Linked DNA regions of Stegostoma tigrinum. The main gene of each other region encodes a partner of the protein of the gene in region 2 in a complex. Links are inferred from orthologs where the notes say so. Each region holds a gene or a part of one and is shown on either strand. Other genes may lie near its edges. The genes, in order: e2f2, transcription factor Dp-2-like, lin52 and e2f6.

The links.
Region 1: transcription factor Dp-2-like (region 2) and e2f2 share a complex: the UniProt entries of both Homo sapiens proteins name them as parts of the DRTF1/E2F transcription factor complex. The link is inferred for Stegostoma tigrinum from reciprocal best matches to the Homo sapiens genes TFDP2 and E2F2.
Region 3: transcription factor Dp-2-like (region 2) and lin52 share a complex: the UniProt entries of both Homo sapiens proteins name them as parts of the DREAM complex. The link is inferred for Stegostoma tigrinum from reciprocal best matches to the Homo sapiens genes TFDP2 and LIN52.
Region 4: transcription factor Dp-2-like (region 2) and e2f6 share a complex: the UniProt entries of both Homo sapiens proteins name them as parts of the DRTF1/E2F transcription factor complex. The link is inferred for Stegostoma tigrinum from reciprocal best matches to the Homo sapiens genes TFDP2 and E2F6.

What each region holds. Positions count from the first base shown.
Region 1 is NC_081377.1:29,050,833-29,058,072, reverse strand, and holds the start of e2f2 (transcription factor E2F2), read left to right. Parts: upstream 1-4,234; 5' UTR 4,235-4,522; coding exon 4,523-4,768; intron 4,769-7,240. UniProt on the Homo sapiens protein: Transcription activator that binds DNA cooperatively with DP proteins through the E2 recognition site, 5'-TTTC[CG]CGC-3' found in the promoter region of a number of genes whose products are involved in cell cycle regulation or in DNA replication.
Region 2 is NC_081367.1:73,714,583-73,722,050, reverse strand, and holds the start of transcription factor Dp-2-like, read right to left. Parts: upstream 3,006-7,468; 5' UTR 2,204-3,005; intron 1-2,203. UniProt on the Homo sapiens protein: Can stimulate E2F-dependent transcription.
Region 3 is NC_081363.1:14,613,534-14,621,168, forward strand, and holds the start of lin52 (protein lin-52 homolog), read left to right. Parts: upstream 1-4,612; 5' UTR 4,613-4,806; coding exon 4,807-4,864; intron 4,865-7,635. Other genes in the region: aldh6a1 (methylmalonate-semialdehyde dehydrogenase [acylating], mitochondrial), read right to left, coding at 4,335-4,370.
Region 4 is NC_081357.1:114,882,851-114,890,096, reverse strand, and holds the start of e2f6 (transcription factor E2F6), read right to left. Parts: upstream 3,021-7,246; 5' UTR 2,832-3,020; coding exon 2,786-2,831; intron 958-2,785; coding exon 753-957; intron 1-752. UniProt on the Homo sapiens protein: Inhibitor of E2F-dependent transcription. Binds DNA cooperatively with DP proteins through the E2 recognition site, 5'-TTTC[CG]CGC-3'. Has a preference for the 5'-TTTCCCGC-3' E2F recognition site.

The DNA.
Region 1 (7,240 bases), on a different chromosome or scaffold from region 2:
AAATAATCTAATTTAAATATAAAAGGTTTTGTCACAAATGCAGTTGGCAACATTTTTTAGTGGATCATTAAACTTGTTATTATCCGTCTATGTTTCCAGAGGCTTGGTAAAAAGATAAAAAAATTATGTTACCAGGACAACACTGCTCCCACTAGGGAGGATTTGCGTTTGTTCAAAAAATTGTCAAAGTACTTTAATTAGTCACTTTGTTATGTAGTTATTAATCTTATGCAGCCACTTTTGCAGACAGCAAGATTCCAAACAATAACGAAATGAACGATGCTTTAGTTTTTTTTAATGTAGAACTTTACCATGTAGATGCAGACCATGCAACCAACCTATGCCAATGTTTAGACTCCACATGAGATTCTACCTCATCCATTATCCATGTGTTGTTATACAGCTTTCTCCCTTATCTAGTTCCACTTTAATGCATCAGGGCAGTTTGTCACAATTACTTCACCTGGTACTCCATATTCTCTCAGAGTAAAGTAGTTACTCCCGAATTCCAGAGGGCAGGTAGCAGTCAACCACATTGCTGTGGGTCTGGAGTCACATAGAGTCCAGACTAGGTAAGGATGGCAGTTTCCTTCCCTAAAGGAAGGACATTAGAGAGCCTGATGGGTTTTTTTTTTCCTGGCAATCAACAATGTTTCATGGTTATCATTAGACTCTTAATTCTAGATTTTTGTTGAATTCAAATTCCGCCATCAACAATGGCGAGATTCAAGTCTAGCTCCCCAAAATATTGCTTCGGTCTCTGAATTAACAGTCTAGCATTAATACCACCTCCCCATATAGGATGCATACATTTATAATTATCCCACCAAACCCTACTTCTAATTTTAAAGACTTCTATCAGGTCAATCTTCAGCTGTCTGCTTACTCTGGTAAAATAAGCCCAACTTTTTCTTGTAATTATGTGAACAGAGTTCTTAAGTCAGCCTTGGAAATAATTTTTCCGCATTCTCTGGTGACTTCAGAGCCTTTTCATAATACCGGTACACACTCCCAAATTTAGCAACCTTGGGACTCAATCTGTGCCAGTCTTTGGAACATGGCAGTCTTCAGAGAGATGATAAACTGGAATTCACTAGTTCAGATTGGAACACTTTAATATGGTAAGTACAGCCTGAAGGGAAACCAACTGATATGACTGCCAAGCACTAAGTTAATATCATGTGCCTGGTGATATTAATTCACCTCTCATGCATCGGATTTAATATCTCTTTCATGCTTTCCCGCTTCGCTATGTCAGTACAACTGGTTAAATTGAGAAAAAAAATCAATTTTAAAAAAAGCCTGCACTTCAGAAAATGCTGGTTTTGGGGTAGCTAGATTTGGAGTGTTTACCTATAAAGGTCAGAACTATGCACAGTACTCCAACAGAGGTCTAATCTAAGTTGTACACAAGTTTAAAATAACACAATATCTTTCCAATCAATTCTATCCCTCTAGAAATTAATCTCAGTGCTCTGGCCTCATTAACCTGCATTGTTATTTTTAGTGATGTGTGCATCTATATCCCTAGAGCTCCTTGCTCCTCTCATTTTGACTCTAATTTTACCCGTTTATTAATGTTCACTACCTCACACTTACCTATACTTAAACAAATCAGTTCTCTTCTGACCTGCTTCATTCACCCTGTATTCCCACCACAGGCAGATGGATGAACTAAGCGCATGGTTTTGGAAATGGCTGTAATCTCAGGAAACTCCACCTCACAACAATTTCTTCACCAAGCCATGTGCAGATTCTGTTCTGCCAGTATGATGTGTGACATACTGATGGAGGAAGTATTTCTCTGCTCCCTAGTTACTTAAAAAAGTTCAGCGTTTTTTTTAATGATTCTGGGCAAAGTGATTCACTTCCTTTGGTACTCATCTCTTCATTAGAGACAAATGAATTGCACTTAGACTGCACTTACCGAGTGGAGTGAAACTGGAAAAAATTTGTGGCTGGGGACGGGTAGCAGGTGTCGAGAAATAGATATTTTTACAACCATTTCTGCAATGTTTGAGTGACAGTGACCTCTGAGACCTCACGCTGTAATGGATGGGCAAAAGTAAGTTTCCTCATGCTTCCAAACAGTTAAAACATGATTGTTAACATTACTCTGATTATTATGAAGTTAGTTTTGAGGTCCAGTTTCCTTTCCATTTTCCCTGCTTTCTCTCTCTCTCACACTTAGTTTGCCACTCTCTCTGTCTCTCCTGTTCTCTCGAGTCCTTTTGTTCATCTGTTTCTACTCACTTATTCCTCTCCTCTTTGTTCATGGTTTCCTCCCAATGTGAAAAGGTGTTTTCTTTCTTCAGTTTCCAACACCAAGGCACAATTGCAGTTTGTTCCTACATCAACAGCCTTCTATTGCTTGAACTCTTCCTGAATCCGACAAAGACTTGGGTTGGGGTTCCCCCTGGGACACCGCTGATCTCGGCTGCAATGGCTTTGGGAAAGTTACAATTGGCCACAATTCCTCTGGGTTAAGGCAAAGGTAAATCAGCCAGCTCCCTGTCGCTGCTCATTATCCAAACACCATGTCATTGAAAGTGCTTTTGTGTGTTGACACTGCATGCTGAAAGGGTGCAAGATTAGCAATAGCAGTTTGCATTTTTTTGAAAAAAATGACCTTGCATTCATATAGCGCCTTTCCCAACCTCAGGACACCATGCAATATCTAATGGCCAAATTTTCGATAAAATAGAATCACATCAGTTTGAGGAGGTAGCTCGCCACTACCTTTTTCAGGGCAATTAACAATGGACAATGAATGTTGGCCTAGCCAGCGGTGCCCACATCACAGGGTCGAATAAAGAAGAATGCAGTAGCCAACCTGTGCATAACAAGATCCCACAATGTGGTCAAAACCAGATATTCTACATTATAATGATGTTTGTTGAGGATGGAGTACTGATCAGGACCCTGGGATGATCTCCCCTGTTCCTCCTTAAGACAATGATGAACAGTCCTTGACAGGAAAGAGGCTGAATCAATTGAACATTGCATTCAAAAGGAAGCACCTTGAACAGTGCAGGACTCCTACAGTTCCCCAGTGGGAATAATGGTCTGGATTACACACTCAAGTCTCCAGATGAGTTTTTAACTCTCAGTCTTGTGTGGTTAGATAACTCACTGCTGTGTCACTTAAACAGCAAACTGCATTTTGGGAGTGGATCATAGAATCCGACAATCACACAGCACAGAAACGGCTTTCGGTCCAACTTGCCATGCTGAACACATATCCTAAATTAAGCCAGTCCCAAATGCTAGCATTGTGCTCATATCCCTCTAAACCTTTCCTATTCACATACCCATCCAGATGCCTTTCAAATGTTGGAATTGTACCAGCCTCCATCACTTCCTCTCACAGCACATTCCTCCCACAGTCATTCATGCATCACCCTCTGCACGAACAAGTTGCCCCTTGGGTCCATTTTAAATCTTTCCCTCTCACCTTAAACCTATGTCCTCTCATTTCGGGCTCCCCTACCCTGGGGAAAAAAGGTCCTTGGCCAGTCACCCTATCCATGCCCCTCATTATTTTATAAACCTCCATAAGGTCATTCCCTCAGCCTCCGCCCCTTCAGGGAAAATAGCCCTGCCTATTCAACCTCTCCCTATAACTGAAACCTTCCAAGCCTCGCAACATCCTTATAACTCTTATCTTCACCCTTTCAAGTTTAACAACATCTTTCTTATAGCAGGGAGACCAGAATTTGAATGTAGTATTCCAAAAGTGCCCCAACAATACCCTTTACAACTGCAACATGACTTCCCAACTCCTATACTCAATGCTCTGATCCAATAAAGACAGGTGTAACAACGGTCTTCTGCACGACCAGGCAGAGAAAGAGAACATCATGCCAAATAATGTAGGTGGCAATGCAGCTTAATAAAGGCAATGTAATGCAAGGAAAAGAAATATAAATTGTTTTCATGAAACCATCATTAATTGTGTCTTTACACAGACTCACTCTCTCACGGCTGCGAAGTATTAAAACAGTCAGGATGCTGTGCAAGCCTCAGCTGGAGTCAGGCTTTTTAAAAAGTCTGTGCTACTCCTGTCGCTTTAAGAAACCAGTTTGAGCGCTGTGATTGGCTACCGTTGCATGTATCCTGGTCAGTTAACCACCAATCAGCGACGGGTATTTGCAACAGATGGCGGGAAATATGAATTTCGCGGCACAGGCTTTGGCGCCAGAGGCTGAGTTTCAGAGTCTGTGAATTAGGCTGCATTCAGGAGCTAGTACAGTTTCTGCAGCCATTTTTCCCCTCTGAATCAGAGGGGACCTTTTACAATCCATTGCATCCTGCTGCATCCAAAGCAACGTTAGCTGTGAGACCCCGTGCAGTTTAATCTCGGGACTCTGCTAATCATTTATATGCCTGCATTTGTTGACTCTGTCTTTTATTTTGTGTTCAAATCCCGGTTTGAAGTTAACCATTTTGTTTTGCCCCTCTCTCTCTCTCTCGTTGCAAACAAAAGGGGGAGAGTGGGGGAAAGATTGCAGCCTTGCCAAAAATGCCAAAGGGAGTTTCCCCAGCCCCAGGCAGGGGAATTATTGGGGCAGTGACTGGTTCCCAGAAAAAGCTAATCAATGTGGAAAATGGGAATACCGGGCTATGTAGCCCCCAGATCCCCACCATCCCTGCCAGTTATTTCACCCAAATTGCAGGAGCAGTATATTCTGATCACAGTGATTGCCTGTATGCAACCCCTCAAGGACCTGAAGTTAGAACAATAAGGACTAGCACAGGGCGCCTGCCGGTAAGTGTAATTTTATAATTTATACATTCATTTTGAAATAATCGCGCGTTTATACTTGGTGTATTTTGCTCAGTTCCTGCAGTTATCAGGACACTGCATTAATAATCATTCAGGGAAATTTACTTAGCTCTTAGTAACATGTTTTACAAAAATGCAGCATTGATAAATTAACCCTACTTTTGTGTATGCGTTTGTGGGATGGGGGTGGGGGTGGGGGGCATGTGGAGTGTGAAGACAGGTTTCGCTTTTTGCTGTGTAACTGGATCTATTGTGATAGAGAAAATGCTCAGATGGCTGTTTACTGTAACTCTAGGCTGCCTTAATTTTTTCATTTATTTCAGGACGATTTAAAAGTTTCTCAAGCCTCCCGATTTATCATCAAAACACGTTGACAATTTTCTTAGGTGATCAAACTGTCACTGAAATTTTGCTGGGCTTGCCTTGGGTTGGCTCTAAAGTTGAGGACATTCTCAATATAATATCTTTTCAATCAAGAGGTGTCAACTTTTTGGAGGGTGCTTCCTTGTATGAAATTCAAATGAAAATGAAAGTAACCAGCCTTTGGCACTTTATTGGCACCAAGCCTTTAACCTCAATATTTTTACTGGAGGGTGGGGAAGGATGTTTAATGCCAATTCTATAGTGTAGGCAGCTTGGGGTTCAAAGGTAAAAATGGAACTGACAGTAGAATCCCCAGCAGAAAAATGTAAAAAATGAAAATGTAATGATTTCAAACTGCAGGGAAATGTTGCTGCTGAACTTTCTTTTTGACCCTCTTCTTTGTGGGAATAGGGCTGTTTCAATTTTTAAATATTGATCTTCTGTGGCTTAATACTTAGATCTAATCTTGTCTCTGTATAGCACCCACCCCTCCCCTCTTGAATTTATTCAAAAGCCCCACTCGGCATCTTTTGAGAATGAGGCAATATTAACGCAAGACAATGCTCACCTGTGGCACCTTGTTTATTACTGACCTCATCGAAGTTTCTTCTCATGGACCAGGGAGCTTGTAAAGCACAGATGATGTTACAGTACCCAAAAACACAGTTTTTAAATACTTACTTTGGTCGTGGCCTACTTTTTTGTGGGGGATGGGGAAGGAGTTTCTTATTGACTGAACTGTTTTTCCGAGGACGGACTCTAGTAGCAGAAGTTTAGTTTTCCAGTATGCAGGGGAATTAATTTACAAGGTGTATTTGTCATCTCTTGCATGCTGTATAAACATTGCTCTTTTGATTCATTGCTCTTGCTCCTTTTGGGCTGGAGTTCTTGTTCAGCTGCTCGCTCCATTGCCTCTGACAGAGAGAGCAGGGAATGCCATTTAGTCCTCTGATTCTTATCTTTGCCCCAAATATTTATTTATACACCAAAGATATCAACAATTGGGAGTCTTTGAGGACACGCTGGAGCTTTCAGAAAGCTAGGCAGGGGTATTTAATTGGAGGCAAAAATTCAGTTTCTTGATAGGTTAAGGTTTTGCAATCAATTTCTGAGGAACTTTCAGATGGGTAAGGTTTCCTAATCCTCATTGAGCACCATTTCTGTACTCATTAGCATGTCATGTTTGTTGTTAACCCACTGGAATTGCATTAATAGGCCCAATCCCATTATCCAAAATGGCAAGATCATGTACTTGCAGATATTCTTGTGTATTCACAGAAAAGCACACAAGCCAGTGCCAGCCAGCGTAGACTGTGCCCTCCGTACTCTGGACAGTATGTATAAACTTCACCAACTTGATTCCCTTTTAATCAAGCTGTTACTTTGCTCAAATGTTTAACGGGTGAAGCCTGACCTGCTCATTCAACTCACTATAAGTCTGCCATATGCAATCTGCCACCTTTTTGTAGTTAAACACTTGAGAAGGGTGAAGCATCTCCATGTTCAGTGGCTCAAGAGAAGTCTTGGCCTTGTGCAGTCTGTTAAGTGTTAACAAGTCAATGTTAGGGTTGAACACTGGACCATCCATCAAGCCTGCCCACACATGGCAGCCAGATTGCCTGATGCCAGCAAACCTGATTGGGGCGGTCAAATGAAGCTTGACTCCCTGGGGCCAGCTTTTGTGCTTGTACCCTTGTTCCATACAAGCCATTGCTGAAAACAATCAGATGTGCATGTTATCAAGTTGTGATGGAAGGTCAGTGAGCTGATGGTGTGTGAGCTGCTGAGTGTTGTAACTCCTTCACTATTTTGCATATGAACCCTCCCAGTTGTGTGGGAGCCAGTAGTACTACGGTATGCAATGCTGCCTTGGTAGCTGGCATTAAGTGACAGACATTGATGGCCCGTGAGGCATCCAGTGGAGTTGCTTGGTTGCCAACCCTCGTATTGCTATCCTCTGTAGAGGCAACCTTACGGTGCTAACTCTCACTCAGAGGGATGTCAAGTGGTACGTACTGAGGTAGAAGGCAGAAGTTATTTAGTCTTCTGGCACTGGAGCTGGGTTCTCTTGAGCTGCCCATAGGCACTGTC
Region 2 (7,468 bases):
AAGGATACTAGTGATAGTGGGTCATGTCTTTTTGTGGCTAGTTGATGTTCATGTATCCTGGTGGCTAGCTTTCTGCCTGTTTGTCCAATGTAGTGAACGTCATCTACAAAATACCTTGCAAGAACTGTGACAAACACTAAATTGGACAAACAGGCAGAAAGCTAGCCACCAGGATACATGAACATCAACTAGCCACAAAAAGACATGACCCCTCTGGGTCATTGTGAGCTTTATCCTTACACCTCCAATAATAAACATCTAGCCTTTTGTTTTAGAAAGTTAATCTCTGTGTTTTGTTTTCTCTTTTCCCCCTGAACAGAGGCAGGGTTGGGGGGCTGGTGTTGTTGGAGAGATGGAGTGCATGCGTGCGAGAGAGGGTCAGTGAGAGTTCTGAGGTATATAGAGGGACAAACATATGTATTTATTTATCACTGATTATGTCAGCAAATTATTGCATCTTTATTAAATACTTTTTAATGACAAATCAATAACTATTTATTAAAAAGCCTTGTTGATAGATCTTCTGTTTGAAAACTTAATAGACCTGAAATATTCAGTCATCTTAGTAACAGGAAAACTGGCTTGTATGTTATGCTGTGATCCATGGAGTAATGGGACTAGTTTCCAATACCAATCACTCCTGCCTTTACATGCTACATTTTCTCCTCATCCCCATGCATTGCATTTAAAATCATTTTCCTCAATTGTTAAATAAACTAGCAACATCGTCCACTTGTTTTGGGAAAGTTCCTATCAGCACAGACTCTGATTTTAATTCTAGCCTCCACTGCATGTACCACAGTCAAAGACAGGGCCTTCAGCCATCTATGCACTGTATTCAGGAACCCGCTACTGAAGTCTTTCACCTCAATGCACCTTTCTCAACCTTTCAGAAGACTCTCTCGTGCCTAAGTCTACCCTTTGGATCACCGTCTACCATTCTTCCCCTACCATGCTAAATTGCCCGTAGTGTTCAGGGGTGTGTGGGTTATAGGGGGATGGGTCTGGGTGGGATGCTCCAAGGGGCGATGTGGACTTGTTGGGCCGAAGGGCCTGTTTCCACAATGTAGGGAATCTAATCTAATCTAATCTAATATCCTCTACAGGTAGAAAGAGGACAGGAGGGTTAGGGTTTCAGCAACTTTGTTGTAGGAAAAAAGTAAAAGTGCCTGGCCTAATTTTGCCGACTTCATTCAGCTATTGCTCTTGTCCTGAAATACCAAAGGGAAAGTTTGAAATATCATTGCCACAATTATTGTTGTTACTAATGTCAAGACAATCTTGCTCTACTATCAGCCAAACTGCAAAAAAAATTCTGATGAAAAATGTCGACAAGCTTCTCTCTCTGCACAGATGCCGCTAGAGCATTTCCTCATTTTGTTTCCATTTCACAGTTCTAACATCTGAAGCATTTTGTTTATGCAGTGAAAAGGATTTCCTAATTTTAAAAAAAAGTTGAACTGCAGGTTTGGTGACTGAACCATGAAAAGTAGCATGAGAGTGAGGCTTTGCAAATGCAGTACTGATGCCTCAAACGACTGAATGTGCATTGAACGTGGAGAGTAGCAGCAAGATGCAGCTCAAATAATGTACCAGGAGGCAATGTAGCAAAAGACAGAAGTACAGAAAATAGGATCAGGCGCAGGCCATTCAGTCCTCTGAATCCACTCTGCTGTTCAATATGATAATGGCTGGCCCTCCAACTCAGTCCCTTTGCTCCCTTTCACCACAAGCTCTATATCTAACTCCTTTTTAAAAACATTCAACATTTTGGCCCGAACCACCTTCTGAGGCAGAGAATTCCACAGGCTCACCACTCTCTGGATGAAGAAATTTCTCCTCACCTTGATCGTAACTATTCTAACCCCAGATCCTTAGACTGTGATCTCTGAGTCTGGGCTCCCTGCTTGTGGGGAACATCCTTCCTGAATTCACCCTGTCTAGTCTTGTCAGAATTTTACAGGTTTCTATAAGATCCCCTGTCATTTCTCTAAACCACAGTGAATATATTCCTAACAGAATCCAATGTCACACCGTAGACGAAGGGTCCTGCCATCCCAGGAATCAGGTAAATGAAACAGGGATTGATAATCTTCTTTATTTATTCCAGGGCAGCGCCCTGCAGAGACGGAGTGGCCACAGCTTTGTTCTAATAAAAATTAAAGAGGAAAAAACGTAAAATTAAAGTGCTTTCGCCACTCACCATCCTTGGTGCCCGCTCCAACAAAGTGTCCCAGAAGCAAGCAGCTGCAGCCAGTTGTCACAGTCTGTCAGAGGGCCTGCTCTCTCCCTCAAACTCTGAGCAAACACCACACTCACACCTCACTCTCTGCAGTCACAGCTCACACTCACTCACCCCCCACACTCCTCTTCCACTCACTCCTCTCATTCACAGCTCACACTCACTCACTCACTCCTGTCTCACTCAGTCCTCTCTCACAGCTCACTCCCCTCTCACAGCTCACACTCACTCCTCTCACTCACATACTCCTCTCTCTCACTGACTTCTGTCTCACACTCACAACTCACACTCACTCACTCCTCTCACTCACACACTCCTGTCTCACACTCACAGCTCACACTAACTCATTCCTCTCTCACTCACTGCACACACTCTCTCACTCCTGTCTCACACTCACAGTTCAGACTCCTGTCTCACTCACAGCTCACACTCACTCACTCACAGCCTCCCACTCCTGTCTCACTCAGAGCTCACACTCACTCAGAGCTCACACTCTCCCACTCCTGTCTCACTCACAGCTCACACTCTCCCACTCCTGTCTCACTCACAGCTCACACTCACTCACTCACAGCCTCCCACTCCTGTCTCACTCACAGCTCACACTCACTCACAGCTCACACTCTCCCACTCCTGTCTCACTCACAGCACACACTCTCCCACTCCTGTCTCACGCACTCACGGCCTTCCTTGCTCCGGTGGGTGGGCTGAACCAAACAGATGAACACATCGAAGTCCCGCCTCGAACAGCGGAGAAAGTTATCTTCCTGACAGCGGCCTCATGGTCTAATTCGGGGGGGGGGGGGGGGGGAGAGAGAGAACGGACAAATAATCAGCACCAAATAACACCCGGCGGGCGGATTGGAGAGGGGTGGGGGAGGGAGGAGGAGGAGGGGTGGAGGTGGGGGAGGAGTGGAATGGGGGACGGAGGAGGGGAGGAATGGGGGGATTGGGGGTGGGGGAGAGTAGGGTGGGGGGGGAGAGTAGGGTGGGGGGGGGAGAGTAGGGTGGGGGGGGGGAGAGTAGGGTGGGGGGGGGAGAGTAGGGTGGGGGGGCAGAGTAGGGTGGGGGGGGCAGAGTAGGGTGGGGGGGGCAGAGTAGGGTGGGGGGGGCAGAGTAGGGTGGGGGGGGCAGAATAGAGGGGATGGGGGGGTGGAGTGTGGGGGCAGAATAGAGGGGATGGGGGGGTGGAGTGTGGGGACAGAATAGAGGGGATGGGGGGTGGAGTGGGGGGGCAGAATAGAGGGGATGGGGGGGTGGAGTGTGGGGACAGAATAGAGGGGATGGGGGGTGGAGTGGGGGGGCAGAATAGAGGGGATGGGGGTGGAGTGTGGGGGCAGAATAGAGGGGATGGGGGGTGGAGTGGGGGGGCAGAATAGAGGGGATGGGGGGTCGAGTAGGGGGACAGAATAGAGGGGATGGGGGGGTGGAGTGGGGGGGCAGAATAGAGGGGACGGGGGTGGAGTGGGGGAGGACAGAATAGAGGGGACGGGGGTGGAGTGGGGGGGTAGAATAGAGGGGACAGGGGTGGAGTGGGGGTACAGAATAGAGGGGATGGGGGAGTGGAGTGGGGGGGCAGAATAGAGGGGGAAGGGGGTGGAGAAGGCGGGTGAGGGGCAGAGTGGGGAGGGGGTGCAGAGCGAAGGCAGGAGAGGGAGTAGAGTTGGGGGGTTGGGGAGGCAGAGTGGGGGATGGTGGGTGCAAAGTGGGTGGGATGGGGATGGGGGCAGAGTGAGGAATGGAGTTGGGGGAGGGGTAGGAGTGGAGGGGTGCGGAGTGGCGGGGGAGGTGTAGCGGGACAGAGTGGGGGAGAGGGGCGGAGTATGGGGGAAGGGGATAGTGGAGGAGTTGCAGAAGAGTTTGGTGGGAGGGAGGGGTAGTAGGGGGGCGGGATATGGGTCGGGGAGTGGAGGGGCAGAGTAGCGGGTGGGTCGGAGTAGTGTGAAGTGGTGGGGAACAGAGTAAGAGGTGGGGATGCGGAGAGGTGGAGGGTGTGTGCAGAGTTGGGGGGAGTGGAGTACTTGGGAGGGGAGGGGGTGCGGAGTAAGGGTGGTGCGGAGTAGGGGGCAAGTGCAGGTGAGGGGGCGGAGTGGACTTGTGGCGTGGAGTGGGGATGGAGTGGAGTAGGGGGAGGGCGAGTGGGGGTGGGTCAGTGTAGTGTGGAGTGCGGGAGTGGAGTGGGGGCAGGGGGTGAGGCGTAGTTGGGGGGAGGGGTGGGGGAACGGGATAGGGCTACGGGAGTGGGGAGCAGAAGGTGGGAAAGGTAAGGGCTAGGAGAGGGTGGCCGGAGATGGGCGTAGGGCTCAGGGTCGTGGCGGAGAAGGGGGTGGACAACAGGAGGGACGGGTTTGGGTCAGGGTCACTGCTGTCGGATGGGGAAGGGCCAAGTGAACACAAGAACAGCCTGAACCCCCCCCCCCCACCACCACAGGGGTAACCCTACCCACAAGACAGATTCCACACTGCTCCCACCCTCGGAGGGGCTTAGCCTTGGGGCAGGGGCATCTGCCACCCGTATGGGGACATTGTACACCTCCAAGCAGTAAAGATGAGGTGGAGATTAAAGCTGAGCCAGGAATTTTTGGGGTCAGGGTGGCACAGAATCAGCTTCAAGAACCACAGGCATAAAATCAGAAAGCGTGCCCTTGGACTAAAAGCGTTAACTCTCACTTCTCAAAGCAATTTGGAAATTCTCCATTGATAATGGGAACTGCAGATGCCGGAGAATCCGAGATCCTAAGATGCTGCTTGGCCTGCTGTGTTCATCCAGCTCCACACTTCGTTATCTTGGAAACGCTCCATTATTTTGTTTTAATTTCCAATCTCCAACATCTGCAGGATTCTGCTATTGAAGATCCACCAGCTAAGTGGCAACAGTCACAGGATTCTAAGAAAAGTCACAGGGATTTGGAACTGCTCAGGGAGATCATCCAGAAATGGACCTGATGATGTACAAGTTGTGCCCAGTAACACTTGGACAATGGCACGGACATAGCTGTGATATAACTAAGGTATTTGTAATGATTACGACTGAGTTTTTTTTCCTTTACTCATTCACGAGATGAGGGCATCACTGGCCAGGCAGCATTTATTGCCCATCCCTAATTGCCCAGAGGGCAGTTCAGAGTCAACCACATTGCTGTGCGTCTGGAGTCACATGTAGGTCAGACCAGGTAAGGATGGCAGTTTCCTTCACTGAAGGACATTAGTGAATCAGATGGGTATTTCCAACAACTGACAACGGATTCACGGTCATCATTAGATTATTAATTCCAGATATTTATTGAATTCAAATTCCACAGTCTGCCATGGAATTTGAATTTATAATGTGTCACGACAAGTAGGACAGAGAAAAGAGAGAGGACGACACTTAGGACAGAAAATGATGGAGCACTGTTGGCCAAAAGGGAAGAATATTTTTCAGAAAACTAATGATAACTAATTATGAGCATTGGTACAGCAACAAAATCCTGGCATAGAATTGTTTGAGCAATTAATGGGGAAAAAAGAAGCACATTGAACAACAGAATTGAAACGTGCCCCTGGTAACTGCCTTAAACTATAACCCAGAACATAGACCATTTGGCCCGGCCCTCTGTTTGTTTTCTGCTTTGGCTTCAGTGAAAACAGGTAAATAGCTATCTTATAAGAGATAACAAAGTGTGGAGCTGGATGAACACAGCAGGCCCAGCAGCATCTCAGGAGCACAAAAGCTGACGTTTCGGGCATAGACCCTTCATCAGAGAGGGGGATGGGGTGAGGGTTCCGGAATAAATAGGGAGAGAGGGGGAGGCGGACCGAAGATGGAGAGAAAAGAAGATAGGTGAAGAGGAGATTATAGGTGGGGAGGTAGGGAGGGGATAGGTCAGTCCAGGGAAGACGGACAGGTCAAGGAGGTGGGATGAGGTTAGTAGGTAGGAAATGGAGGTGCAGCTTGGGGTGGGAGGAAGGGATGGGTGAGAGGAAGAACGGGTTAAGGAGGCGGGGACGGTTTTGGGATGCAGTGGGGGGAGGGGAGATTTTGAAGCTTGTGAAACCCACATTGATACCATTGGGCTGCAGGGTTCCCAAGCGGAATATGAGTTGCTGTTACTGCAACCTTCGGGTGGCATCATTGTGGTACTGCAGGAGGCCCAGGATGGACATGTCGTCTAAGGAATGGGAGGGGGAGGTAAAATGGTTCGCGACTGGGAGGTGCAGTTGTTTATTGCGAACTGAGCGGAGGTGTTCTGCAAATCAATCCCCAAGCCTCCGCTTGGTTTCCCCAATGTAGAGAAAGCCACACCGGGTACAGTGGATACAATATACTACATTGACAGATGTGCAGGTGAACATCTGCTTAATATGGAAAGTCATCTTGGGGCCTGGGATGGGGGTGAGGGAGGAGGTGTGGGGGAAGTGTAGCACTTCCTGCGGTTGCAGGGGAAGGTGCCGTGTGTGGTGGGGTTGGAGGGGAGTGTGGAGCGAACAAGGGAGTCACGGAGAGAGTGGTCTCTCCGGAAGGCAGACAAGGGTGGGGATGGAAAAATGTCTTGGGTGGTGGGGTCGGATTGTAAACGGTGGAAGTGTTGGACGATGATACGTTGTATCCGGAGGTTGGTGGGGTGGTATGTGAGAACGAGGGGGATCCTTTGGGGCCAGTTGTGGCGGGGGCGTGGTGTGAGGGATGTGTTGCGGGAAATGCAGGAGACACGATGAAGGGCGTTCTCGACCACTGCCGGTGGGAAGTTACGGTCCTTGAAGAACGCGGACATCTGGGATGTTTGGGAGTGGAATGCCTCATCCTGGGAGCAGATGCGGCGGAGGCGGAGGAATTGGGAATAGGGGATGGAATTTTTGCAGGAGGGTGGGTGGGTGGGAGGAGGTGTATTCTAGGTAGCTGTGGGAGTCAGTGGGATTGAAGTGAACATTAGTTTCTAGCTGGTTACCTGAGATGGAGACTGAGAGGTCCAGGAAGGTGAGGGATGTGTTGGAGATGGCCCAGGTGAACTTGAGGTCGGGGTGGAAGGGGTTGGTGAAGTGCTTTGGAACCCTGCAGCCCAATGGTATCAATGTGGACTTCACAAGCTTCAAAATCTCCCCCTCCCCACTGCATCCCAAAACCAGCCCAATTCGTCCCCTCCCCCCGCTGCATCACAAAACCAGCCCAGCTCGTCCCTGCCTCCCTAACCTGTGCTTCCTCTCACCTATCCTCTCCTCCCACCTCAAGCCACACCTCCATTCTCCATT
Region 3 (7,635 bases), on a different chromosome or scaffold from region 2:
CTGACATTTCGGGCCTAGACCCTTCATCAGAGAGGGGGATGGGGTGAGGGTTCTGGAATAAATAGGGAGAGAGGGGGAGGCGGACCGAAGATGGAGAGAAAAGAAGATAGGTGGAGAGGAGAGTATATGTGGGGAGGTAGGGAGGGGATAGGTCAGTCCAGGGAAGACGGACAGGTCAAGGAGGTGGGATAAGGTTAGTAGGTAAGAGTTGGAGGTGCAGCTTGGGAAGGGATGGGTGAGAGGAAGAACAGCTTAGGGAGGCAGAGACAGGTTGGACTGGTTTTGGGATGCAGTGGGTGGAGGGGAAGAGCTGGGCTGGTTTTGGGATACGGTGGGGGAAGAGGGGATTTTGAAGCTGGTGAAGTCAACATTGATACCATTAGGCTGCAGGGTTCCCAGGCGGAATATGAGTTGCTGTTCCTGCAACCTTCGGGTGGCATCATTGTGTCACTGCAGGAGGCCCATGATGGACATGTCATCTAAAGAATGGGAGGGGGAGTGGAAATCTTTTGCGACTGGGAGGTGCAGTTGTTTATTGCGAACTGAGCAGAGGTGTTCTGCAAAGCGTCCCCAAACCTCCGCTTGGTTTCCCCAACGTAGAGGTAACCACACTGGGTACAGTGGATGCAGTATACCACATTGGCAGATGTGCAGGTGAACCTCTGCTTAATGTGGAAAGTCATCTTGGGGCCTGGGATAGGGGTGAGGGAGGTGGTGTGGGGGCAAGTGTAGCATTTCCTGCGGTTGCAGGGGAAGGTGCCGGGTGTGGTGGGGTTGGAGGGCAGTGTGGAGCGAACGAGGGAGTCACGGAGAGAGTGGTCTCTCTGGAAAGCAGAGAGGGGTGGGGATGGAAAAACGTCTTGGGTGGTGGGGTCGGATTGTAGATGGCGGAAGTGTCGGAGGAACCGCAGGAAATGCTACACTTGCCCCCACAACTCCTCCCTCACCCCTATCCCAGGCCCCAAGATGACCTTCCGCATTAAGCAGAGGTTCACCTGCACATCTGCCAATGTGGTATACTGCATCCACTGTACCCGGTGTGGCTTCCTCTACATTGGGGAAACCAAGCGGAGGCTTGGGGACCGCTTTGCAGAACACCTCCGCTCAGTTCGCAATAAACAACTGCACCTCCCAGTCGCAAACCATTTCCACTCCCCCTCCCATTCTTTAGATGACATGTCCATCCTGGACCTCCTGCAGTGCCACAATGACGCCACCCGAAGGTTGCAGGAACAGCAACTCATATTCCGCTTGGGAACCCTGCAGCCCAATGGTATCAATGTGGACTTCACCAGCTTCAAAATCCCCCCTTCCCCCACTGCATCCCAAAACCAGCCCAGTTCGTCCCCTCCCCCCACTGCACCACACAACCAGTCCAGCTCTTCCCCTCCACCCACTGCATCCCAAAACCAGTCCAACCTGTCTCTGCCTCCCTAAGCTGTTCTTCCTCTCACCCATCCCTTCCTCCCACCCCAAGCCGCAGCTCCATCTCCTACCTACTAACCTCATCCCACCTCCTTGACCTGTCCGTCTTCCCTGGACTGACCTATCCCCTCCCTACCTCCCCACCTATACTCTCCTCTCCATCTTCGGTCCACCTCCCCCCCCTCTCCCTATTTATTCCAGAGCCCTCACCCCATCCCCCTCTCTGATGAAGGGTCTAGGCCCGAAATGTCAGCTTTTGTGCTCCTGAGATGCTGCTGGGCCTGCTGTGTTCATTCAGCCTCACATTTCATTATCTTGGATTCTCCAGCATCTGCAGTTCCCATTATCACCAATAAGGAACAGCAGCAGGCCATTTAGTCCCTCAAGCCTGCTCATATAAAAAATGCACACACAACGCATGCAGGCACACACACGTTTGTCTATCAAGGATCAATCTGCATCAGCCTTCAAACGTTCATCAAACGCTGACCCTTCCAGCAATTTTACATCCCATGAAAGGGGAAAGAGAAAAGGAATAGTTACTCATAAATCCAACTGGTTCAGGAAAATGTCTTTGCCCATAACATGTGGAATTGATGATGTGAAGAGCTTTGATACATTTAAAGGGAGGCTAATAACTGGATGAGGGAGAAAGGAATAGAAAGATTTGGAACAGAATTAAATCAAGGAGGCAGACAGGAATACAGACCACATGAGATGAGCAGACATTTCCATGCTGCGTAATTGTTTGAAAGCAACAGCAAAATGCTTTAGCAACTAAATATATTTTCAGTGTTCAGATCTTTGACCTAACTTAAAAGGTATTGTAAGGGTGATTGAGATAACATCATTTAAAGCAAGCATAGGACAAATCAGGCACAAGTCTGAAAGTCAAGCAAGGTTAAAGACTACAAAAGCTGGACAATAAAGATTTGGAGGCAAGCCCTGAAGTGGAGAACTGATAATGAAGTCAATTGACACCGCTGTCAAGAAGGCAGATCAATGAAATACGATTACAGAAACATCAGTGCCATTTCAGCTCCAAGTCATCTGTACAGGAATTTGTTGGGTAGTGTCCTAGCCACATTCTTTGGCCCTCCACTGACAGTTTGCATCATTTAGAGGATTCACTGCAGAAATTCACCCCAAGACTCCTTTGACAGCACCTTCCAAAGCCAATAACCCAACCACATGTAAGGACATGAGCAAAAGACTATGGAAATTCCAACATTTCTAAGTTCCCAAGTCACCAACAAGGCAGCTCACTACCACATTTGAGGGCAACTACGGATGGTCAATAAATGTTGGCCCAACCAATGACACTCACATCCAGTGAAAGCCTATCAGACATTTTGACAGAGGACAAATAAAGAGTGCGATAATACAGTTGGAAATTGAAACTGAAGGTTTCCACAACTGATGAGAAAAAACACAAGATGCCAATGTGGAAAGGTGTAAATGACTGGTCCTTAAAATGATTACTATTACATACAATTAACAAAACCTGACAAATTAAAAAAAAATCCATCCCATCTCAAAAAAAACTTTGATTAAGCCTTCTCACTTACAATATTTGAAGATGTGTGATTCCTGAACTATCCCACAGAGAATGTAATAAGTGAGAAAAAAAACAAAACAATGCTGTAGGGCAGAAAACTAAGGACAACCCTTTCCAGCACGTTTGAACCAATAACAAGGGAGCTCTGGAAACCACCCACTAAAGCTGACCCACAGGCTTCTAAATGCTGAGTAAAGATATCAACTAGCATTGAAGAGAGAAAAAAGGCTGATTGAGTATAGATTTCAGCATCTGCAGTAATTTACTCCTACTATATGAAAAGGCATTGTCTGCTTTTCTCTCAGACAACCCTAATGCAAACCACGAGAGAAGAAAGTCATTCAAGTGTACTGGTGGGCACTGATCAACTGAATTAGGAAACTAGTTAGCTTTGACATCTTACAATCCTCAGACGAGTTACATCAGTAAACAAAAAAACTTCAGTACGCAATGTTACAATCAATGTTCTATGAAAGAAAAATGTAAAGGTCCGAAAGTCAGGGCATTGAAGAGGAGATGGCCGGAACTGCAGATGCTGGAAAATCTGAGATAACAAGTTGTAAAGCTGGATTAACACAGCAGGTCAAACAGCACAGGAGCAGGAAAGCTGACGTTTCGGGTCTAGACCCTTCAGAAAAGATTTGTGTGTTCATCCAGCTCTACACCCTGTTATCTCATTGAAGAGGAATCCCCGGACTCTGAACGTTAACTCTCCTTTCTTCTCACAGATGCTGCCAGACCCACTGAGTTTCTCCAAAAATTCTGCTTTTTAAGTCAGATCATTAACGCTTTATATCGGGGAGGCAACGAATGAATGCAGCCTTACTGCGTTTAATATTCTGAAGTTTAACGAAGTCAACAGCACAATAACAAAGTCGTCACGAGAAAGTGAGGCATGTACGGTTGCCAAGTGTCTACAACGCGTTTAAAAGCTCAATCCACGTAAATAATTTCATCCCTTGCAAGAAGGCAAAGGAGGGAATACATGGGTGGCATCGAACAGATGCAAAAAAATGCAGAAAACGACAATACAGCGTGAAATAAAACGACAACTGCAAAATATATAAATAGAACAAGTTGGCTTTTCACCACGTGGAAAGGACGAGGAGACGATAAGGGACTGGGAATACAAACTGCTGGACACTAACGTGCGCCCGTTAGCGAAATGAAGACAAGGCGCATAAGATTTTCGGGACTTCTTCGCCTCTCGGGTTAAAATAAAAACGGTCGCGAGAAGCGATCTCGACGGGTATGGAATTAAGACATTCTGCACAGCAACACACAAGCTCTGTTTTGTTGCGCGTCTTCCACCGCCCCCACACGAATCACACCGTGATTCCTGTCGGTTTACCTTTCGCCTGAAAGTGACCCTGAGGGCTGCTGCCATTACGAAGCCGAAAACGGACCCAAACACACCTCTCCCGCTCCGTTGCCCTCACCTATCGCCTGCCCAATAACCACTCACTTCGGAGGGCGGAGACCGCGACTGAAACCGTAAGACCCCACGCAGTCCGCAACCCTAACGTCAATTGGCGCGACGCCAGACCACGTGACACGCCAAACCCTCCCGATCCCCATCGGCCAATGCGGACGTCAGTCAGATAACGCGCCCCGCCCTCCCACCCAATAATCACGCGAGATTCCCGACGGTTAACGGTCGCGGCGCTAAATTTTTGCCCGCAGTTCGTTTTAATTAAGTCTACACCCCCTAAATGGCGCTTTTGAAATCGGAAACGACTATTCTGTTCGAAAGGATATAATTCGCTAGTGTTTGTTCTGTCCTGGGGACGGGCTGCAAGTGGGTCATGTGACGGTTCGGGAAGATGGCGTCGCCGAGTGGGTCATGTGACGGTCTGGGGAAGATGGCGTCGCCGAGTGCGGGTAAATTCTAATTTGCTTGTGTGACAGAGAGAGTGCTTCTAGGCACGGGGCACTCGACTTTGCTATTTGGCTGCTTCATCCTCTCAGAACCGGGACAATTCGAACAGAAAAGAAAAATTATGGTCTTTTATTTACGCTGTAATGGTTTTTCTTCGGCAGTATCTGTGGGAAGAAAGCAGAGTTAACGTTTCAAGTCAGGGAGAGTTTTCTTCCCACAGACCTGCGCTGTTTCTCCAGCGTTTCCTTAATTTTCTTTCTGATCTCCAGCGTGCGCAGCTGTTTGTTTTCTTTTAATTATTCTCTTTCCTCCTTTTAAGATTTTGGCGGGTGGCCACCGCAATCCTGCTTACCCTGAGTTGCATCTACCGGCCGAGATGTTTAGGTGAGAGATTGGAAAGTTGGAATAGCTCCATAGGGGCTAGTATCCTGTCACTCAGTCACCCTTTAAATTATTTAGGTGAGGAAAGTCCTTGACACTAACTCAGAGCCAGCTCTCTGAACAGGATGTCAAACACTTCTGTTTTATCTGTCAACCAGGGATCCCTCTTTGGAACAGATTAACATCCCTAGTCAGGGAATTCATATTCTTTGAGGTCCAACTGGCTGACTTTGTTACAATCATTACATCTCTCTCCCTCTGAGTCTGAGAATATAGGCTGGTGTGTTTCTTTTATTGTAGCTCACCAGCTCAGATTTCTCCAATTCTGCCTTGAATATGGGTGGTATGTAATGCACGGTTGCACGCCACTTGTGCCCAGTTTGACTTGGAAGAAATTCATTCTCTTGAGGTGACTGTGGTGTCAATGTGATCACATCTGCTGCATCCATCTCAGATTCTACAATATCTTCAACGCTTGATGGAGAGGGTGAACCCTTATGTTCTGGAACAATCGGAAAGGCAGTCAAGGAACTGGACATGTTTTGCTCCTGCACTGTTTGCAAGTTTGCAGCTTTAATTTGGTCCATGTGCTTGTTGAGGCCCATCATACCTACCTGAACTGTATACGCCACTGGACCTGAACACTGGTAGACTGTGCCTTTTAGGACCATTCCTTTATCGACTAAAGTAAATTGTCTTTCTCACTTAGTACGGTCTTGAGTCCGGCATTGGCATTTTTGATGCTGTTTCACCCTCTTTCCCCTAGATCTGTGAAGATAAGATTTAAACAGAGTCGTCTTCCCATATGCAACTCTGCTGGAACTATCCCTGTGATTACATGATGGGTGGACCTATAATCAAATAGGAATTGGGATAGTTTGGTATCGAGTGATGCTGTGGTTGTTTCTTTCAGTCTGCCTTCAAAATTTGCACAGCTGTTTATGGCACGTCATTTGATGGATGGTATGGAGCTGTCCTTGTATGAAAAATACCAGTTGACTTTTGGGAAATATCCAAGTTGCCTACTGGAAAATGATGGCTTGTTATCTGTGACCAATACTTCCAGCAGTCTGTGTCTTTCTACCATCATCCGCATGTTTGACAAATGAACTTTGTGGTCATGCAGCCACTTTGAGTGGGTGTCCACAACAGCTAAGAATGTCAAACCCATGAAAGAACCTGCATAGTTGACGTGTAACTAATTCCAGGGTTTACCAGGGCCTTCCCACGAATGTGGGGGTGCTATTAATGGTAATTTTCATCTTTGTTGGCACACTCTGCACTTGCCCACCAATGCAGCCACGTCTGCATGCAATCTTGGCCAAAAGATGCTACTTTCCAATAAAAACCAAAAGAATTACAGATGCTAGAAATCAGAAACAAAAACAGAAATTGCTTTAAAAGCTCAGCATGTTTGAAGAGATATCAAAGTTAATGTTTCAGGTCCAGTGACACTTCTTCAGAACAATGTTACTTCTTGCTAACATCTTCTCTTTGGAATACCCAGTGGAGTTCAGCTGGTGTCTGGCGGTGGCCTTTGCTTTGGACAATCACACTTACTCCCCAAATAATATGTTGTCAGCTACTGTGATCTGGTCTCCCTCGGTCCAAAAATGTTTCAGATTTGGTTGTGATGGCCCTTTGGCTTCCCCCATCACTATCAGCTGTTTCAGTTTTGTCGGGACTGGATATTTGAGTCAAAGTCTAATATTGTCAACTGTGAATGCAAGTGTGTCCAGAAAATTTGAAAACATGTGGACTCTTCTGATGGTACCAGTGTGGTGTATCTGCCAGTGGAGGCAGCTCAATGCACTGGCATTTGCTACTTGGCCTCCAGGAAAGTGTTCCAACTTGAAATTATATGCATTTAGTATTAGAGGTTGCTGCTGAATTTGGCTTGAAGTTATGGGTGGCACTGCCTTGTCCTGTTTAAGTAGACCAAGCAGAAGCTTGTCTGTTATGATTACAAATTTACCTACATAATCGTAGTTTCAAATCTTCCCATGTTCCATGACCAACCGACCCTCTCATCCCTGCCTCCTTGACCTAACAAACCTGTCCATCTTCTCTCTTACCTATCCACTTGTCCCAGCTCACTGACCATTCCCCTCCACTGCCAACCTGTACTCGCCTATCACCGTCCCACCCACCTTCCCCAGCCCCATCCTTCCCCTCTCTATTTATTTCAGAGCTCCCTTCCCCCTCCCCCATTTCTGAAGAAGGGCTCCGACCGGAAACGTCAACTTTCCTGCTTAAATGCTGCCTGGCCTGTTGTGTTCCTAGCTCCTCACTGTGTTATTTCTATGATATCCAACTGGTTAAACTTATTACAATTAGTACAGGACTGGGTAAAACTAGATTTAAATTTAGGTTTAATTCATCTTATTCCCCT
Region 4 (7,246 bases), on a different chromosome or scaffold from region 2:
GTTGTAATATCCTGTTTAATACATTCCTGTTGTTTGCTGAAATCTGTCTCTTTACTTTTGTTGTCATACGATTATTACATTATTAACCTGATTACATAGTCATTATATGACTATTTCGATGCAGTTGCACTGCAATTCAACCTTCGAGCTGCAAACATGTTTTGTGAATATTTCATTTTGTTATTATAAGCAGCTGAAAGCTTGTCTAATGACAGAGCAACTAAATTTGAGAGGACAGAACTAGAGGAGTACAGACATCTTTGGATGGCTGGGCAGTGTAGGTGGTCACAGAGGTAACAAGGAACCAGGCTGTGGAGGGACTGGACTGGAAAATAAGAATTATTTTAAAGTAAAAAGGCAATACTTTAGTAATCTGTATTGCAGACATACAAATTAAGAATTCTAATGGATGGCCCAAATTACATTTTTGTGGACTTCAGCAGCAGTGGGTACAGGACAGAAAATGAAACTTGCATCTCACCAGCCTAGCCTGAATTCAAATCTGGATTCAGAGCATGCAAAAATATTTACAATACAATTTCACTGATAACTATGGGATTCCACTTGAAAGCTGCATTCACGTCAAAGTAAAAATAAATTCAATTTTCATCGAAAATTATTTTGAGAATCACATATCATGCTCTTGAGCCCACCTTTATAATGAACACAAAATCATGTAGAGATATGCCTGAATGAATACCAGTGAATTTTATAAAATAAATCAATTTACAGGAAGTGTAAAAATGACTTACATCCATTCAATTAAATTTTTTGATTTTTTTCTCACAAGACGAATCCCATCAAGTACATTGGTGATATCGTAAACCCTTCGCTTTCGCACCCCAAGCATCTTTGCAATATCATTCATGTCAAGGACGCCATCAGGTGCCTCCTTCACAAGTTCCATAAACTGTTGCGTTAGATGCACTAGGGACACATCAAAACGTGGCTTTTTTGCTGTTACAAAACAGGAAAACAACATTAACTTTCAATCTTAAAAACAGAAATGCTGGTATTATTGAAATAAAATTTGATAAAAATGCAACTGAAATGTGTAATGGATGTATGACTAATAGAAAAATAGAGAATTGTATTGTCAATTCTCATAAAACCTACTCCAAAAATGCCATTTAGAAATCGCATGTTAATATTGTGGAACTAAGATGTTTGTTTTATACATGTTTATTTTAGTAATTTTACACTTTGGCAGACAGTATAACAATTTGCAATTTTCATTTATTTCCTAACCCTAAATTTTAGCAAAGCAAAATGTCCCAAAGAGTGTCAAATGTATGTAGTTAAAGCAAATTTGATGAGTCACTTAAGGAAATATTAGGGCAGTTAACTAGAAGCTTGGTCAGAGAAACAGGTTTTATGGAGCATTTTAAGAGGACAGAGGCACTAAGGTTGAAAGGTTATGCCACAAAATTACAGGTTTACGTAGTCAAAAGTAATGTGACTGAAACCAGAAATGCACAAGCTATTAGAATCAGTGCAGTGAACGGATTTCAGAACTTTGTTCTGCGAGTAAGTACCAGGAACTATATGCTAAAATAAAACATTGTTGTGAAGGCAATAATCTAACCTAACACATGAACCACATGCAAAATTAGCCTAATAGATTAGAAACAAATGAGCAGATTGAGTTGGTGAACAGGTAATTAAAGGGTGTGGGAATCTATCACTTCACAGCGGCTTCCTGGGGCCATATATGTACTTGTGATGACAGCTTTAAGTCCTTTCGTATTTTGGTCTTCTAAAATAAAACAATCTGCATTGACACGGTAGAATGTATTCCATTTTCATGGGACACCTGCACTGGTACTGGGTCAGGAAATGAATGTGTGGTTTGGACAGGAATCAACATAAAAACCATCGCTTGGACTAAACAATGAAAGTGTAAATGATCATTTCAACAGTTTGTTACAACTTAACATTTAGGACATCCTTTCTCATCTACTGCCAAAAGTATATTGTATTGTGCTAAATGTGTTTCTGATAGGCCATTAAACAGTGCTGGAAATGACATATAAAGTTAGCAGCAGGCATTGTAATTTGTTTAGTGTGCATTCTAGAAAATAATTTGCATGCATGCAAATGAAATAAATTCAGGCATAAAATTCCTGACAATTAAGTTAAGTGGAATACATTACATTTTGACAACCTAGCAAATTTTTAAAACATCGTAAAGACCTGAGTCGAATTAAAACTAAGCCTCAAGTAAATCACAATTACTAGAGGTAATTGTTCTTAGTATAACTTCGAAGTGTAGTCCCAAGTCCAGGCCCAATACATTGCAGAAGACAAACGTCCAAACAAAATGTGTTATTTATTCATACATTCCTTTAGCCCATACCCTGACTTCCGTTTAATTCCCTTTGTAATGAATTTCAATGGAACCTAGTCTGGCCCAGATTCGAATACACGGTGGAGTAAACATTGGTAAACAGTGTCCTGCACACGTGCACGTGGATCCGTCTTTCTTTAAAAAAAACACGATTTGGATTTATTTAGTTTGGCAAGGGTGGATACTTTTTCGCGTGGGGGTGGGAAGAAACAGAAAAGGTTGTCCGGATGATCTCTAATGAAGCTGATCGAGGCCCTAGGAAGAAGCAGTGCCATCTTGATGCTGTGGAAGGACTGGGAGTGTTACATGTAAACACAGAGGGGACAGGAGGGTGTGCGTGTGTGTCAGAGAGAGAGAGAGACGGGGGGAACTTGGAGATAGACAAAGACAGTTAAACAGACAGATGAGAGCCTGGTGCCAGGGCTCAGTCAGACTCACTGGATCTGGGCGCTGAGGTTACCCGGGAGCTGCTCTCGTCCTCCATTGCTGGGGGCTAGGGGGGTGGCGCTGATGTTTGTTACTGTCTCACCCCCTTCCCCCACCCCTGGTACTGCCAATCCTACACGGAACTGCTCTGAGACGAAACCGCCTCGCTTCCCACCCGTCGCCTCCCTGCTCCTCTCCTGCTATTCCCCCGCCACACACAACAACACGCTGCCACGCAGGCCCAAAAGGCATCCCGGCGCATGCGCCAACCCGCCCACCGGCGGCATTCCGACGCATGCGCCAGCCGATAGCTGCCAGCTTTGCTCGCCTTTCCCGCCCGACCTACAAAACCCGCCTCCTCTATGAATATGGATGAGTAGAACGCGGGCCCTTGGCCGTGGCACCGCCTCCACAGATGAATGACGTGCCTACATCACACACAAGGCTTTGTGACGTTGGGTTGAAGTATCTTTTGAGCAGCAGCAGTATTCGCCGGGCGCGGTGGCGTGCGCCTGTAATCCGGCGACTCGGAGGCTGAGGCTATCGGATTGCTTGAGACCAGGAGTTCTGGGCTGCTGCGGACTATGCCGATCAGGTGTCCTCACTAAGTTGGGCATCGATATGGTGTCCCTGGAGGAATCCGGGTTCACCAGGTCGGGTAAAGAGGGGTGAATCGGCCCAGGTCGGAAACGGAGCAGGTCAAAACCCCCGTGCCCATCAGTAGTCGGATCGCGCCTGTGAATAGACGTTGCAGTGCAGCCTGGTTAACACAGTGAAACATAGTCTTTTCTCAAAACTGCTTTTGGCATTTTTCATTCTCTTCTTAAAATTATCATTATTATTACACTTCAGCTGCTCTAAATGCTGGCTCTAATTTAATTAATAGGAATGCATAAAAGGACCCTTAGAAAAGTGCACATCAAAGTCTAGGATTTAAACTCTGCTCCCATCTATATTTTCATCAACTCTGATAATACATTGAAACATAGTCTTTTCTTAAAATTACTTTTGGCATTTTTCATTCTCTTATTAAAATTATCATTACTTCAACACTTCAACTGCACTAAATATAGAGCTTATATTCAATATGATGCATAATAGGACCATTAGAAAATACACACCAAAGTCTAGGACTTAAACTCCATTCCCACCTGTATTTTCATTAGCTCTGATTTTTATTGCTCTAATTCACACTTTGTTGAATTGACAATTCCGAATGATCATAATAATTTTGTAACACGTGTAAAAGGATGGGTATTTCTGAATAAAATAACACATTTTTAGCCTGTTTAAACCTGTTTAAATGTTTCGACGTTACTGCTCTCTGCTGTTCTCTCGTTTTATTACAGCAGAAAAAGTTGCTCTTGGAGCTGTTATACTGGCAGTGATCTTCAGGGAGCGCTAACTTTACATTGCAGTCAGCTCAGAGGGGGCCAATCTGCAACTAATTAAGCATTTTAAATTTAGAGATCCGAATTGCATATTTAAAATCTCGTCTCCTTAAATAATAAATAATAAATTGTTAGAAAACAAAAAAAAAGAAATCAATAAAAACAAAAATGACTTGAAATCAAGCTGAATTAATCTTTTCTACAATCGAAGTCAAGCAATTCTATCTAGAACTAAATTATTACTAGCAAGTAAATAAAAGCTTGACATGGCCACGTGTCAGGACTGATATGTGGGAATTTGTGGGCAGTGGGATTCCTCTGTCACATCTGTATTGAGAGACTCCAGCAGAAATTCTGACAAGAGAGGAAGGGAGGTTCTGGCTAGTTTTCCATAGAGTGTAGCCACGTCTCAGAAAAGTGCCAGCCAGTAGAGTAAGGTGAACCTAGTTTAGATAGAAGAAGAGGAAGTCTTGCACAACAGATAAAATGTAAGATAATAAAGTGTGAAGCTGGACGAACACAGCAGGCCAAGCAGCATCTCAGGACCACAAAAGCTGACGTTTCGGGCCTAGACCTCTCCCCCCACTGCATCCCAAAACCAGCCCAGCCTGTCTCTGCCTCCCTAACCTGTTCTTCCTCTCACCCATCCCTTCCTCCCACCCCACGCCGCACCTCCATTTCCTACCTACTAACCTCATCCCACTTCCTTGACCTGTCCGTCTTCCCTGGACTCACCTATCCCCTCCCTACCTCCCCACCTATACTCTCCACTCCACCTATCTTCTTTTCTCTCCATCTTCGGTCCGCCTCCCCCTCTCTCCCTATTTATTCCAGATCCCTCTCCCCATCCCCCTCTCTGATGAAGGGTCGAGGCCCAAAACGTCAGCTTTTGTGCTCCTGAGAAGCTGCTTGGCCTGCTGTGTTCATCCAGCTTCACACTTTATTATCTTGGATTCTCCAGCATCTGCAGTTCCCATTATCTCAGAGAAAATGTAGTTGACACTGTGAGGCTAAAGTGAACATTGCTGGCAGGAATGTCCTAAACTAGGCACTGTAGAAGAGGATGCCATCCCAAGAGCAGAGGGTCAGAATAGAAATGAAGCAGTAATAAGGTATGCAATAATTAAGGGGTGGAGTGTATTCACTGTTAGGACTTAGATGATGAGGGATTTGTTACATGTATTGAAGAAAATTTTCTTTATTGATGTGTATGTACCTACTAGAGAAGGAGCAAAACATGACCTTCTGTTGGGAAATAAGGCAGAGCAAGTGACTGAAGTGTTACTAGGGGAGTACTTTGGGACCAGTGATCACAGTTTTAATTGTTTTCAAATAGTTATGGAAAAGGATTGGCCTTTTATAAAAATTAAAGTTATTAATTGGAATAAAGCAAATTTTGATGGTATGAGACAGGAATTTTCAAGAATTGATTCGAGTAGACTGTTCACAGGTAAAGGGATGACTGACAAATGGGAGGCTTTCAAAAGTGAGATAACAAGAATTCAGAGGCATTATTGTTTCAGAGATAGTAGGAACTGCAGATGCTGGGAGAATCTGAGATAATAAGAGAAGGGTCTATGGCCGAAACGTCAGCCTTCCTGCTCCTCTGATACTGCTTGGCTTGCTGTGTTCATCCATCTCTACACCTTGTTATTTCAGGGGCATTATGTTCCTTTCAGAGTGAAGAGTTAGGATGGTAAGAGTATGGAACCATGGATGATTAAAGATATTTGGCTCAAGTCATGTTTAGGAAGGCGTCATATATTAGATATAGACAATTGAGATCAAGTGAATCTCTAGAACAGTGTAAGGGTTGTAGGGGCATTCTTAAGAGGAAAATTAGGAGGGCATTAAGGGAATATGAGATAGCCTTGACAGATAAGGCTGAAGATAGTCCAAAGAGATTCTGCAAATAAATTCACAGCAAAAGAACAACAAGGGAGAGAAAAGGGCCCCTTTAAGATCAACAAGGTTGTCTATGCATGGAACCACAGGAGATGGAAGAGATACGAAACAAGTATTTATCATCAGTTTTTACTGTGGACAAGGAATTAGAGACCAGGAAACTCAGGAAAATAAATATTGATGTTTTGGATTTCAGCACAAGCAAGGGCAAGGGCTTCCATCTTAAACCAACTGAAAATAATGGATCTGAATATTGCTAAAGTGATGATTAACTAGGAACAGTGGAGGTCCAAAGAGACCTATATACACACATCAATAAATTAGGGTCAGCAAGGACAAAAAAATTCAAATGTTATATTTTAAAGCTAGAGCTGTAGGATATAAAAGAGCAAAAGTTGAACTGTATCTCTGCAAAGCCTTGGTTGGACCACATCTGGAGTACCATGTACAATTCTTAACGTCATACCTCGGAAAGAATTTAGCTTCAGAAAGACGTTTAAAATGAAGACTTTACAAAGAGTTAATAATGGGGAAACTTTTTCTAATGACTGAAGGCTTAACAATTAGAGGACACAGAATTGTGCAGATTCAGCAGTGTCTTGTCAGGGCTCCAAGGGTTAAATTATGAAGGATGCTTAGATAGACTAGACTTGTATTCCCAAGAATATATTAGGTCAAGGCAGTGAGTGCATTCATATTTTAATGATTTTGGAATGAATGAAGGACATAGACACAGAGAATCATTCCCCTTGGTGGGTAAGGACATAATCCCAAAATTGGAGCTGGGTATTCGCAAGAGAAATTAGAAAGCATTTCTACCTGGTAGGGTGTTAGAAATGTGGTATTTGATCCTTTATTAATAGTTAAATTGGAGATAATGGGTTTTTACCAGACAACAGTATAAAATGATATGGAGTCAAGTCAGGTGAACGGAATTCTGAAACTGATCCAAGTTGTTGAATGACCTACTAGTCTTTCTGTTTGGCAACAACAAACCAGGCTCTATTAGATTCAGAGATAATGGGAACTGCAGATGCTGGGGAACCCGAGATAACAAAGTGTGGAGCTGGATGAACACAGCAGGCCAAGCAGCATCTTAGGAGCACAAAAGCTGACATTTCGGGCCTAGACCCTTCGCCAGAGAGGGGGATGGGGAGAGGGAACTGGAATAAATAGG